Linked DNA regions of Tribolium castaneum. The protein of the gene in region 3 interacts with the protein of the main gene of each other region in a pairwise test. Links are inferred from orthologs where the notes say so. Each region holds a gene or a part of one and is shown on either strand. Other genes may lie near its edges.

The links.
Region 1: the proteins of E(z) (region 3) and Bin1 interact in binary tests that used the Drosophila melanogaster proteins (3 or more experiments, as listed by UniProt). The link is inferred for Tribolium castaneum from reciprocal best matches to the Drosophila melanogaster genes E(z) and Bin1.
Region 2: the proteins of E(z) (region 3) and HDAC1 interact in binary tests that used the Drosophila melanogaster proteins (3 or more experiments, as listed by UniProt). The link is inferred for Tribolium castaneum from reciprocal best matches to the Drosophila melanogaster genes E(z) and HDAC1.

What each region holds. Positions count from the first base shown.
Region 1 is NC_087397.1:433,714-436,502, reverse strand, and holds Bin1 (histone deacetylase complex subunit SAP18), read right to left. Parts: upstream 1,318-2,789; 5' UTR 1,238-1,317; coding exon 1,178-1,237; intron 1,133-1,177; coding exon 713-1,132; 3' UTR 675-712; downstream 1-674. Other genes in the region: uncharacterized protein LOC662631, read left to right, coding at 1-79, 131-538; uncharacterized protein LOC662698, read left to right, coding at 1,721-1,837, 1,886-2,093, 2,148-2,324, 2,392-2,548, 2,596-2,789. UniProt on the Drosophila melanogaster protein: Involved in the tethering of the SIN3 complex to core histone proteins. Interacts with bicoid (bcd) to repress transcription of bicoid target genes in the anterior tip of the embryo; a process known as retraction.
Region 2 is NC_087394.1:10,697,943-10,702,417, forward strand, and holds the start of HDAC1 (histone deacetylase HDAC1), read left to right. Parts: upstream 1-1,508; 5' UTR 1,509-1,691; coding exon 1,692-1,740; intron 1,741-2,051; coding exon 2,052-2,164; intron 2,165-2,218; coding exon 2,219-2,660; intron 2,661-4,475. UniProt on the Drosophila melanogaster protein: Catalyzes the deacetylation of lysine residues on the N-terminal part of the core histones (H2A, H2B, H3 and H4).
Region 3 is NC_087394.1:34,717,651-34,721,830, reverse strand, and holds the start of E(z) (histone-lysine N-methyltransferase E(z)), read right to left. Parts: upstream 2,801-4,180; coding exon 2,548-2,800; intron 2,501-2,547; coding exon 2,074-2,500; intron 58-2,073; coding exon 1-57. Other genes in the region: UDP-N-acetylglucosamine transferase subunit ALG14 homolog, read left to right, coding at 3,774-3,780, 3,835-4,180. UniProt on the Drosophila melanogaster protein: Polycomb group (PcG) protein. Catalytic subunit of the Esc/E(z) complex, which methylates 'Lys-9' and 'Lys-27' of histone H3, leading to transcriptional repression of the affected target gene.

The DNA.
Region 1 (2,789 bases), on a different chromosome or scaffold from region 3:
ACACCGCCAAAGTGTCCCACGGCCGTTATTGAGGGAGGACGTGCCTGTGAGGCAGCCCCAGCCGGTGAGGCACACTCAAGTAATTTAATTTAATAACTTTTTGTTTCTTTATTTTAATTATAATATTTAGGTGCGCCAGCACGTTCCAACACCGCCGCCCCCGCCCCCAGTGCGTCAGCCCACCCGCGGGCACCACCCCGCCCGCCAACCCTCGCAATACCTCGACGAAGACGGCGTCCGTCAAAGAACCCGTAAACCCCCAGTACAAATTTTGCGCAAATACCGAACTGATAATCCCGATGGTAGCATAACCTGGGGCTACGAGAATGAAGATGGTACGTTTAAGGAAGAAACGTTGGGGATTGATTGTGTAACACGGGGGAAGTACGGTTACGTCGACCCTGATGGTGTCCGCAGGGAATACACGTACGAAACGGGGAACAAATGCGATGAACCGGAAGAAGACGAAGATTTACCGCCCGAAAGACAACAAATTCAGACACAGCCCAGGAAGCCCCAATTCAGGCCTGGACCTTAGGTTTAGTGTTAAATTAAATGCCATTATTTGTTAAAAATAATAAATTAGGAATTATATATAACTGGTTGCCTGACCATGTTTGGTTACTACGGGTTACCACTATCAACAACACAAAAGGAAAAATAAAAATGCCAAATAAAGTTTTATGAGTTTTATTTATAAAAATTAACTACACTAGTAGGGCCTTTGCCGATGGTTATTGTAGTTCTGAGCATAACCCTTGCGGCCCCCTGTGTTCCAGGAATCGGCCGGCGTGATGGCAATATCCATAAAATCCCCAATTGCAAATCTAGCTTGACTTAGCGTTTTCAAGTCATCAGGTCCCTTAATCCCTGTAGTTGTGCTCCCTATTTCCCTCATTCGATAAATCGGGACTCTCATATCGGGAAAAACGAGCGAAAAACTAAACTTTGTCCCTTTTCTCCGTGCCTCTGGATTCACTTCTTTGACAAGTTGGGTTAACTCATGTAAAGTTGCGTCTTTCCATGTGTAGATTTGGAGCTCGTTCTGGGGCGTATTACCTTTATTATAGTCGGTGGGTTTGTGGTGGTAACCGTTCGACGAGACAAAAACGCGTAAAAGAAACGGACAGACCTGGAAACTTAGTTGGGAAAAAAAGTCAAGTTGGGGGTGTTGTACCTTTTGGCGATCCACTGCATCGTCTTTCTTTTCCTCGATTACGACATCCACGGATGCCATAGTATGGTTTTTGATTAATAAATAAACAGTTTTTGTCACTTGTAAAAAATAAGGTTAACACTTGTTTACAGTTGACAGAGGGCGCTTGAACCCACGCCCTACTCCCATTATTGCGTTTCTTTTTCTAGCACATTGTATCGTCCAACCACCCATCTTTGTCTCGCGTCTGGTGATAGGTCGAGAGAATCGGATGACTTTATTGACGTTCACATAACCTATTCAAAAGTTATGTCAGGACAGAGATTCCGGTAGTACCAGGTGAGTCATTTTTGCCCTTTATACAATTATTTTCGCGTAATTACAATTATGATCAGTTGTTGTTTTGATGAACTGTAATTTCAAAACGCATTGTAAGCATATTTTTGAATTAGCATACCTATCTACAAGTCCAACGTTTGAAAACAATAAAAAAGATAAAACTCATCATTCGCACTTTGATTGTTATTTCATTCAGTTCACTAGTGTTCCAGTTCCAAAAAAAAAATGGCCCAAACGGACCCTAATGTAATCGTAGGCCCAGAAGTTGAGCGCTTCATTGAAGGTTCCTTAGGTGAATTATTGCTACTTTTACTGAAAACACACTGTGATAATGTCTTACAAGTAAGTAAGTAATTATTTTTACCACCCTTGTGGCAAAAAAACGTATAGGTTGATGCCGCAACTGACGAAGAATTGCCAGCTAATTTATTACTAAGTCGTTCGATTCAACTCGCAAAATGGTTACGCAGTATTGGGGTTAAAGAAGGAGATTCGATTTCGGTAAATAGCGAAAATCGGTTAGAATTCGCCGTTGTGACAGTGGCCACGTTTTTCGTTGGCGCTGTTTTTGCCCCTTTAAACCCTGAATATACTCCAGGTGAATGCTCTTGAACTTTGGTAATAAAATAATTGATAAGTTTATCGCTTTCAGGCGAATTAAACCACGTTCTCCAACTTTCAAAACCCAAAGTCATTTTTTGTTCGCCTCAAACGATTCAAACTATGACTAAAGTTTTCGCCGATCATCCAAATCTCACACATTTGGTGCTTTTTGGGGCGCAGAAACGTAACGAGAGTTACGTTATAATGCATGAGGATATTATCAGAGGTAATTTTGAGGCACAAGCCGAAGGCGAGTGTCGTAACATATATAGTAAAAATGCATTGATATTTAGGCGCCACCGGTGACAACATTGACGAAAGTTTTGAAGCCACACCAGTGGACCCCAAAGACGCCATTGCCACGATTTTAATGTCGTCAGGGACCACTGGTTTGCCAAAGGGTGTGATGTGCACCCATGAAAGCATGACCACCTATGTTGACATAATGAGGTGATTTTTTAGTCATTTTTTCAATTGTTATATTGGACTGTCATTAGGGTTACCATGGCACAAATAATCGAAAATGACGATCCCAGCGACGCCATGATGGGTCTCGCCCCATTTTTCCACTCAATGGGTTTCATGTTAATGTTTTTGAATTTGTTACGCGGCAAAAAAATGGTTGTTTTGAGTCGTTTCAAAACCAAAATTTTCCTAGACGCTATCATAAAGTACAAAATTTCGCGACTTG
Region 2 (4,475 bases), about 24 Mb from region 3:
AAAAATTAATTTGGTATGCAACCACATATACAGCACCATAATTGTGGTCAACCTACTATTAATAACTGTTCTTTTTTTAGAAAGTAAATCGGTAACAAAAATGTGTAATAGAAAAGAATTACGTCTAATTTGAACCTTTTTTGACTATTTCGTGTAAAATATCAATATTAATATGCTTGTTTCTGACAAAAAAACTATAGAAAACCCAACAATGAGAGTCTGTTTAAACAACATTTTTTTTTATTAAGAAACATTCTTAAATACACAAAGCAAAACCACGTAATGTGCAACATTTCATCTTATTTTAAAAAAATTTGCTTTCTAAAAAGCTAGATTTGTGTTTAAAGCGGTTTCGCTGCTTTAAACTCTCAAATATTATTAATTTTTTTAAATTTATGGGCCGGTTTATAAAAGGCTCTGTTAAAATTGAATTCGTTGTTAAAAGTTAACAACGCGAATGAACCAACCAAATGACTTCAATTTGGTCACGTAATCAGTTAATCACGCATTTTATAACTGATTAAATTAATGACGTTTTTATAAACCGGTCCTATGATTAGTTATGATAATTAAACTAGTTTACAAAAAATTTTTTCTTTTACCAAGAAATAATTTATACTGATTTTGTTTTCTTCTCACTCACTAATAACGTAATAACTAAAATATATCTCACATTTGTCTATCACGTCTTGTTTTTTTAATATATTCACTAAAAGTTTTGAAAATATATTCGTTGTTTCTGTGATAAACTAATAGTTAAACATTGTATTTGCTTTAAAATATCGTCAAGTAAATGTAGATTAAGCCCAAACAACTTTTGTTTTTTTGTGGTAAAATTATCTTAGTAAAACCTGAAAAACTTAAAGGCAAGAAATAAGAATTTCTCAGTTTCGAATGTAAAGGGAAAAATGTTTAGGAATGCAACCCCTTAATTATTTCTAACTAAGTGTAAAGAAGAATTTAGAACTTGCTCTACTGAAAACTGCTAACCAATCTTCATAACATATAATTGTTGTTTTCTTCGATAAATAAGTTTTTTACAGTAGAGGCTTCCTTTTTCATGAGAATTTTTGTATGAAAAGCTGATTTTTGTTCATTAGTTAATGTGGCATTATTAGCGGTGTAGTTAGAAAAAACAGTTCTAAGGAACAAAGTTGTGGTGAATTATCTTCTACGATTCAGGTATTATTTAATTTTCCATTATTCGAACATTGGTAAAAAACCGTCTTCAACGTTTTTGGGACCCCTTCGGTTGAAAATCACAGCTTTCTTGATTAATGAAGGGTCAAGGGACTTTCCCTTCGTTAATCAAGGAAGCTGTGGATATGGTCTTAAGGACTCTTCTAAAGAAAAGAGATGGCGCTACGTAAGGAGAGTTTTTTTAAGTTAGGAGAATCAACTCCAACAATGAAAAAGAAAGCTTTGTTACGGCCTTAATGGTGGCATTACAATGCAAAAACGAAAAGAATCACCCTGTTTATTTTTTAGTAGGGAAATTCAACTTTACACTAAATCGCCACCGGTGCTAGGTTGGCGTCCTTGCTGCGGGAACAACGGTGCCATTTGCAAAGCGGCGTGTTGTGCTACCGCCGTAATTCTAATAATTTAAACAAATTGTTACAAAGTGAACAGTGATTTGTAATAATTAAAGCCAAAGTAATTAAAAACAATTTAGTTTTCTACAGTACAAGATGGCCACACAACCTCACAGTCGGAAACGTGTTTGTTACTATTACGACAGTAAGTAGCCACCAATTTCAGCCAAACATGAATTATTCCACCATTTTGGGGCGTTTGTTTTTGAAATTTGCCAACAAAATGCATGCGTTTGCTTAATTTTGTGTCGTATCGTGCTATCATGTAAATACGATTTTCGAAACCGTAAGCCTGGAAATTCACGGTAGACTACGGTCGCGGTATTTTTGCTCGGTGCTGATTGGTTAGCTTGGTTTATGATGAGATGATGACGCTTTTTTGTACGGTGTTACGATGGCGAATGTTATTAGTCCATCGTGAATTTTGATTCAATTCTGATAATTTTGAATTGTTAGGCGATATTGGGAATTACTATTATGGGCAAGGACACCCCATGAAGCCCCACCGCATAAGGATGACCCATAATTTGCTGCTCAATTATGGTCTGTACAGAAAAATGGAGATTTATGTGAGTATTTAATTTCCATGAATTGTTGGTGTTATTTAGTTTTGACTTTCCCAGCGCCCCCATAAAGCCACTGCCGAAGAAATGACCAAGTTTCACTCGGATGACTACATTCGATTTCTCAGATCCATCCGACCTGACAACATGTCTGAGTACAACAAACAAATGCAGAGGTTTAATGTAGGGGAGGACTGTCCTGTCTTTGACGGTTTGTACGAATTCTGCCAACTCTCAGCTGGGGGCTCAGTGGCGGCAGCTGTTAAATTGAACAAGCAAGCGTCCGAAATTTGCATCAATTGGGGCGGGGGTTTGCATCACGCGAAAAAATCCGAAGCTTCGGGCTTTTGCTACGTAAATGATATTGTTCTGGGGATTTTGGAGCTGTTGAAGTACCACCAACGCGTGTTGTACATCGATATTGACGTGCACCACGGTGACGGTGTCGAAGAGGCTTTTTACACCACTGACCGGGTGATGACAGTCTCGTTCCACAAATACGGTGAGTATTCTAAAAATAAGACAAAGGGGCGAAACGAGATACAAAATAACTCGATGTTTTTACCAAAAATTTAGTCCCCCAGAGCATCAGTGCTCCATAGCATCGTTTTGGTTTCATTTAAATTAATTTAAACTCAACCGGTTCACTATTTGTCTGAGAAAAATGTGCTGTTCTAGGGGAAAAACATTATTGAAATGTTTTTAAAACGTTGCAAATACGGTTAGTAAAATACAAAGAGGTGTATAAGTATTAAAGCAAACTGTTCGAAACATTTTTTATATGTCGAGAATTACTTAAATATTTTGTTGTAAAATTTTCTTCTAATACGGTCAGAAGTTTCCAACAAAGGATGAAAATTGTATTACTCTGAATAATTCAGCTAACTTAAAGTCGTTTTATAGATGAAAAGCATTTTTTTAAGAAATCTCATCGAATAAAGGCAAAGAATGTGTTTGCTTTTTTTAATACCTACTTAAACACATTTCTAAGGTAAAAATTCACTTTTCTTGCTTAGTTTTATATTACTTTTGCCTTTGTTTTTGTCAAAAAAAAAAAACAAAAATGAAGATCGGAAATGATTTTATTTTGGCTTTTTTGTTCTTGTTTTGAGTGATTTTCTTTGTTTTTTTTTTCACAATTGCTTTAATAACTCGGTAATTTTCTGAAATTTATATATTCTTTGGACATTTTTAGTTCTAGTTTTATTTATTAGTTTCAATCAATTTAACATTTTGCTTAAATAGGTTTAAAAAGGATTATCAGTGGACATCGAATATCCATTTTTGCCTTTCTTCAGCATTTTGATTAAAAACATACCTATTTCTCATAAATTGGTTACAACAGGACCAAAAATCATTAGTAATCTAAGCGAGAAACTCACTGTGAAATGACCACTTTTGTATGACTTCGTTAAACACTCCGAACATTTTCTTTATTATGATTTCGTTGTTTGTATGATTTCGTTAAACACTTTGAACAATTTCTTTATTACGTAGAAAATTACGGTATTTTTATTATTAAACAAGTAAGTATTAAACAAGTGTAAGATGATTTTACTTTTTTCGTAAAACTGCATTAAAACGCCAAAAATAATTTAATTACGTTTGAAATACCGGATTTTTATTTTAAATATGCAAAACTTTGTCAGAAGACCAATGAATGATCTTGATAGTTGTCGTTCCTTTCGGTGGGCTTACGGTGACTTGTTAAAACAAGATGAGAAATTATTTGATACGTCGGAAATGACGTGAATTTTGAGCGAAAGGTCGAAAATAATGTGAATTATTTTGATCAGTTTTTCTAGAATTGGGTCGTTTTTTTTTTGTAAAATTTGAAGTACAAATGCCGAACATATCACATAATTATTATTTTACCTATAATTAGGTATATATTATTTTTGCTTTTAAGCACACTTCTCACTTTTCTGTTGAAATTTCGCTCAAATAGAGCAAGTGATTATCAATAAAGTTATCGAATATTACGTCACTTTGATTTTTTTCCACTTACTCATAGTAATTCGCATTAATTCGCTAGAATAACAGGCCAAAAAAATCACAAATGAAGGTAGGGAATGACATTACTTTGGTCTTTTTCGCCATACATATTTATGTGGGAAACTAAGATTTGTTGCAATTTTGTCAATAAATGAAACTAGATGAAAATTGACGCTCTTGTGGCCTTTTTAGAATAATGTAAGATGTAAGTCATTTTGTAATTTTTATTCTTCTGTATTTATTTGAAGAGAAAGGTACTTAACTATTGTGTTTAAACCCATTTTGCTTACGCTCTGCAGTGTTTCTTCAAACATGGATCATT
Region 3 (4,180 bases):
TTTGGGGTGCATTCAGGGGGCGCGTTGGGGTCGGTCCGTTCGGTCAGTTCAATGTACCTAAACCAGGCAAGTTAGGGAAAAAATAATCAGGGTCCCACCCAGCGAAGTTGGTAAAGTACCATAAAAAAAGTAATAAATCAAATTATTTTCAAGTGTAAAAGTATTAATCACCCTATATTTTATTGTATTTTTAACGTAGTTATCAATAAGTACTGATGATTTTGTTGATTTTTTTTGTTGATTCTGCTATTTTACAGTAGTTATTTTATTTGACGGAAACAATTTTTTTAATGAAATACACAAAAACTAAGAGTGCCACAGTTTCCACCACTGCAAAGGGAAATTTTCAAGTTTAAAACTGTAGTAGTTCGTTAACGCACTGCAATTAAGAACATAAAAAAGTGAAAACGTTTGTTATTTGTGTGTTATTTTGTGTTTTTCTAAAAACAAAATTTCAAATGTAGATTGAAAAAATAACTGGTGGAAAACTTTAATGAAACAATGATTGTTACACAACGTTGCGTCTATTATACCACAGACATCATCAAATGGAAAAAAATGACATTATGGAATTTAAAAAAGATAGTAGATTCAACACACGCAAAGAAGGTCGCACAATATTTTTTTTCCATTTTTTATACAAATGTATTATTTCTAGCCTGATGATGTATGTGGTATAGTGGACGAAACGTTGTGTAACAATCGTTTCATTATAAGTTCTCCATCAGTTATTTTTTCAACCAGGGATAAAGCATTCAAAGGACGTTTAACACTCCGTTTATCTGTTACCTTTTATTTTTTTATTTTATAATTAAATCGTTTAAATTTGAATTTATTTAAATTAACAAAAAACTAGGCTATGATATTGTGTACTGAAATAAGCGTAAACTATTTGTAAATTTGTGTTCGTGCATAGATTAGAGCTTCGAAAAAAATTATAGTTAATTTTCAAACGTTGACAATTATTATTGACAATTCGACTTTATTTCAGAGAAAACTTAAGTAACATTTTAATGTTTTAAAGAAAAACGGTAAAAAACATGTATTTTTCAAGACATTTCTCGAAACAGTCAAATAAATTATTCTATTACATAATCCTTTGGTTCTTCTAAAAAAAAGTTAGACTCCTCTTGCCCTTTTTCTTTGCGGTTGTAGTTCAATTTAACTATTTTACAAATTAATAATACAATTTTTTGTTTAAAGTTATATCTTCTTTGTAATTATTAAGACGCACTTAAATGATTGTGGTTTTAAAGGGAACTTAAAAAACTTTAACATGCAAAAGTAAAAAATAAAAAACTTCTTGACTGGAACTTTTCAAAAAAATGTCAAAACATCAAAGTTTTTTTCTTTCTCCTCTAATCTGACTCAACTGATTTTTTTTAATCGTATTCTTGGATTTGATATAATTATTTTGTTAAATGTGTTTTCGTCAAAAAAACAAGCACAACAATAAAAGTTTACCCTTAAAAACATTAATATTAAACGTTACTTCCAAATGCCAAAAGCCGAGTGTTTCATTAAAAAAAAGCATATTTGTATCGTAGCTTACCGATAAACATAGCCTACTGTCTGGACAATTATTTTGACATTATTTAATATAAGTTATTAATAATATGAGTGCGAAAACACAAGAGTAGCTGTCGTTATGCAACGAGCAGATGCGAGTTACTTACCTAAATACTTTAACTTTAAGCGTTTTCGTATGAGTGTTATTCAAAATTTTTTTGTTGGACTTCTTTACACTTTTTTATTTATTTTGTTCAAGCATACAGTGCGGTAAAATAACATGAAAATTTTTCAGAGACCTCAGAACAATATTTTATGATAAATGAACTCATTAATGCTGTGAGAAGATTAAAAAGTAAACACTTTTTTTTCTGCTCGAAATGTGAATTGATCGAAAAATGACCAAATTGTTTGTGCGTTAGATATTATACAGCGTCCAGTTTCGTTAAAGCTCGAGTTTCAAAATTAAAACTTCACGCTGTGAAATTATATACACGTATAATGTAAAATGAATATTACCAACTCGCTGGAAAAGCCTGTAAAAAATATAATAAAACATCGTACTTTTCCCTCAACTCCTCTGGGTCCCCCTTATCGGGAAACTGCGACGAAATCGCTTGGAATATAATAAAAGCTGGAAAATCGAGCCCCTTTTTCTTTTCCTCTTCTTTGGTCTTTTCCTTGTCCTTGTCTTTTTTCTCCCCTTTGTCGCTGTCCTGGTATTGCATCAACGCGTGCACCAGCTCCACAAAAAGCTCATCATCGATAAATCCCGACTCCCGGTCCCCGTGCACTTTCCCATCGTAATTTTTGATAAGTTCTTCGATAAACGTCCCGTCCTGGTCCAGTAAATCATCGCCCATGTATGGAATGTTATGCAGGACAGTTTCGTCCTCCACCATGAAGTTCTGCTGGATGGGGGCCCACGTGTACATGGTCGGGATGGGAGTCACCGCGTTGATAATCCGAATGGGGGTGACCTGTATATCGCCTGAAACTAACATAGCATCTTGGAGACAACAACTGGGATCAAACAACCTTCATTCCCGATAACTTCCGCCTTTTTCATGCAAGTCACATGCGAGGGGATCTCGGGCAGGGGCACCCAGAAGGCTTTGCTCTCAGTCCAGCGCTTCTGCTCGGCGATCAGGTTTTCGGTCATTTTGATCCGGTTCTGGTTCCATGCTAGTTTCACGTCGTCCGCTCTTTTGAACCTCTTTTGTTGTCTCAAACGGATGTATTCTTGCTTCACGTGACGCTTCCATTCGTTACTCACTTTCACTTTCGACATTTTCACGCCAATTAAGAAAGAAAACAATGAATGCGAACTGAGGGAAGGGTCAATTCATTTTGGAACGGAAGGAGTTCTATAAACACAGAAAAAACCAAAAATATAACCTCTAAGCACAGGCACCATCGACTGGCGCGTGCGCCGATGCTCTGCCGATAATCTAACCCTGCGAACGCCGTGCCCCAGGTCCCAACCCCCGGCCCCCCAGGGATGTGCCCAATCCACAGGATGTCATAATTTTAGGTAATAGGTGATAGTGAAGTCAAATAAGATAAAAATGATAGGTTTATTGTGTTTTAATTGTAATAATTTACACTACTCAACAATCGCCAAGGATCACCTGATTTTTCAATTTTCAAAAATTCTCAATTTTTGGACTTTGTGATGGTTTAAGAATACCTTAATTTGAATTTGCTTTGCCATTTATGAGTAAAATCATGAAATATTCGTACAGTGTGATGCTGGAGAAAAAGTTATAGTATCTAATTAATTACTATTATGTGAGCTACACAACAAATAAATGTTTTTTCGGTTATTAACAATTTTCTTAAAGTATTATATTGTCTGGAAAGAACATCATTTAAACACCGTATCCTTTAGAATGCCATTAGAATCTCCAGATACTATTTTTGTTGGTTTTGAAATCATTTTCAATATTTTAATTAAAAGGAATTGAAGAGAAATGATAAAAAAATCACCTACATTTGAAAAAAAATAAAATAAAGGGTACCGACTGTATATTAAAAAGCACTTTCATAAGTTTTGAGGCACGAATAAATAACGACTGCCTCAAGGTCTTATGACAGCAGTTTTTTAAAGCTATTTTTTGTAATTTATGGCTTTCAAATTTTGGTATATATTTGGGGACTTTTGTGATGATTTTTTGTGGATTTTTATGTCGTCCTCTTATTTAATTGATGTTTCAATAACTTTCCATTTTTCAGAAACCATCGCAGGAAGCTAGCCTGGAGACATGGAAGGTAACCGAAAAATCAAACGTGTTTTACAGTTATAATCGAATTTTAAATTTTCAGATCAGTTAAAAATTGAATTGGCGATTTTAATCGCCGTTTTAATCCTGGCCAGGATTTTGTACCTAGTCCACAAGATAACGACTGGTTTTAGTCGCGAAGCGTCCAGTAAAAGAGTAACCCCCTGCAGGACAGTCATCTGCATTGGTTCAGGGGGGCACACCACTGAAATGCTAACCCTTATGGCAAGCCTAGACTTTGCAAAATATTCGCCCAGATATTACATCATGGCAAAAACCGACACAACCAGTTACGCCAAAGTGAGAAAATTCGAAGAGACAAAAAATCACAGCAATTATGAAATTATCGAAATCCCCCGCAGTCGAGTTGTGGGCCAGTCCTACATCAC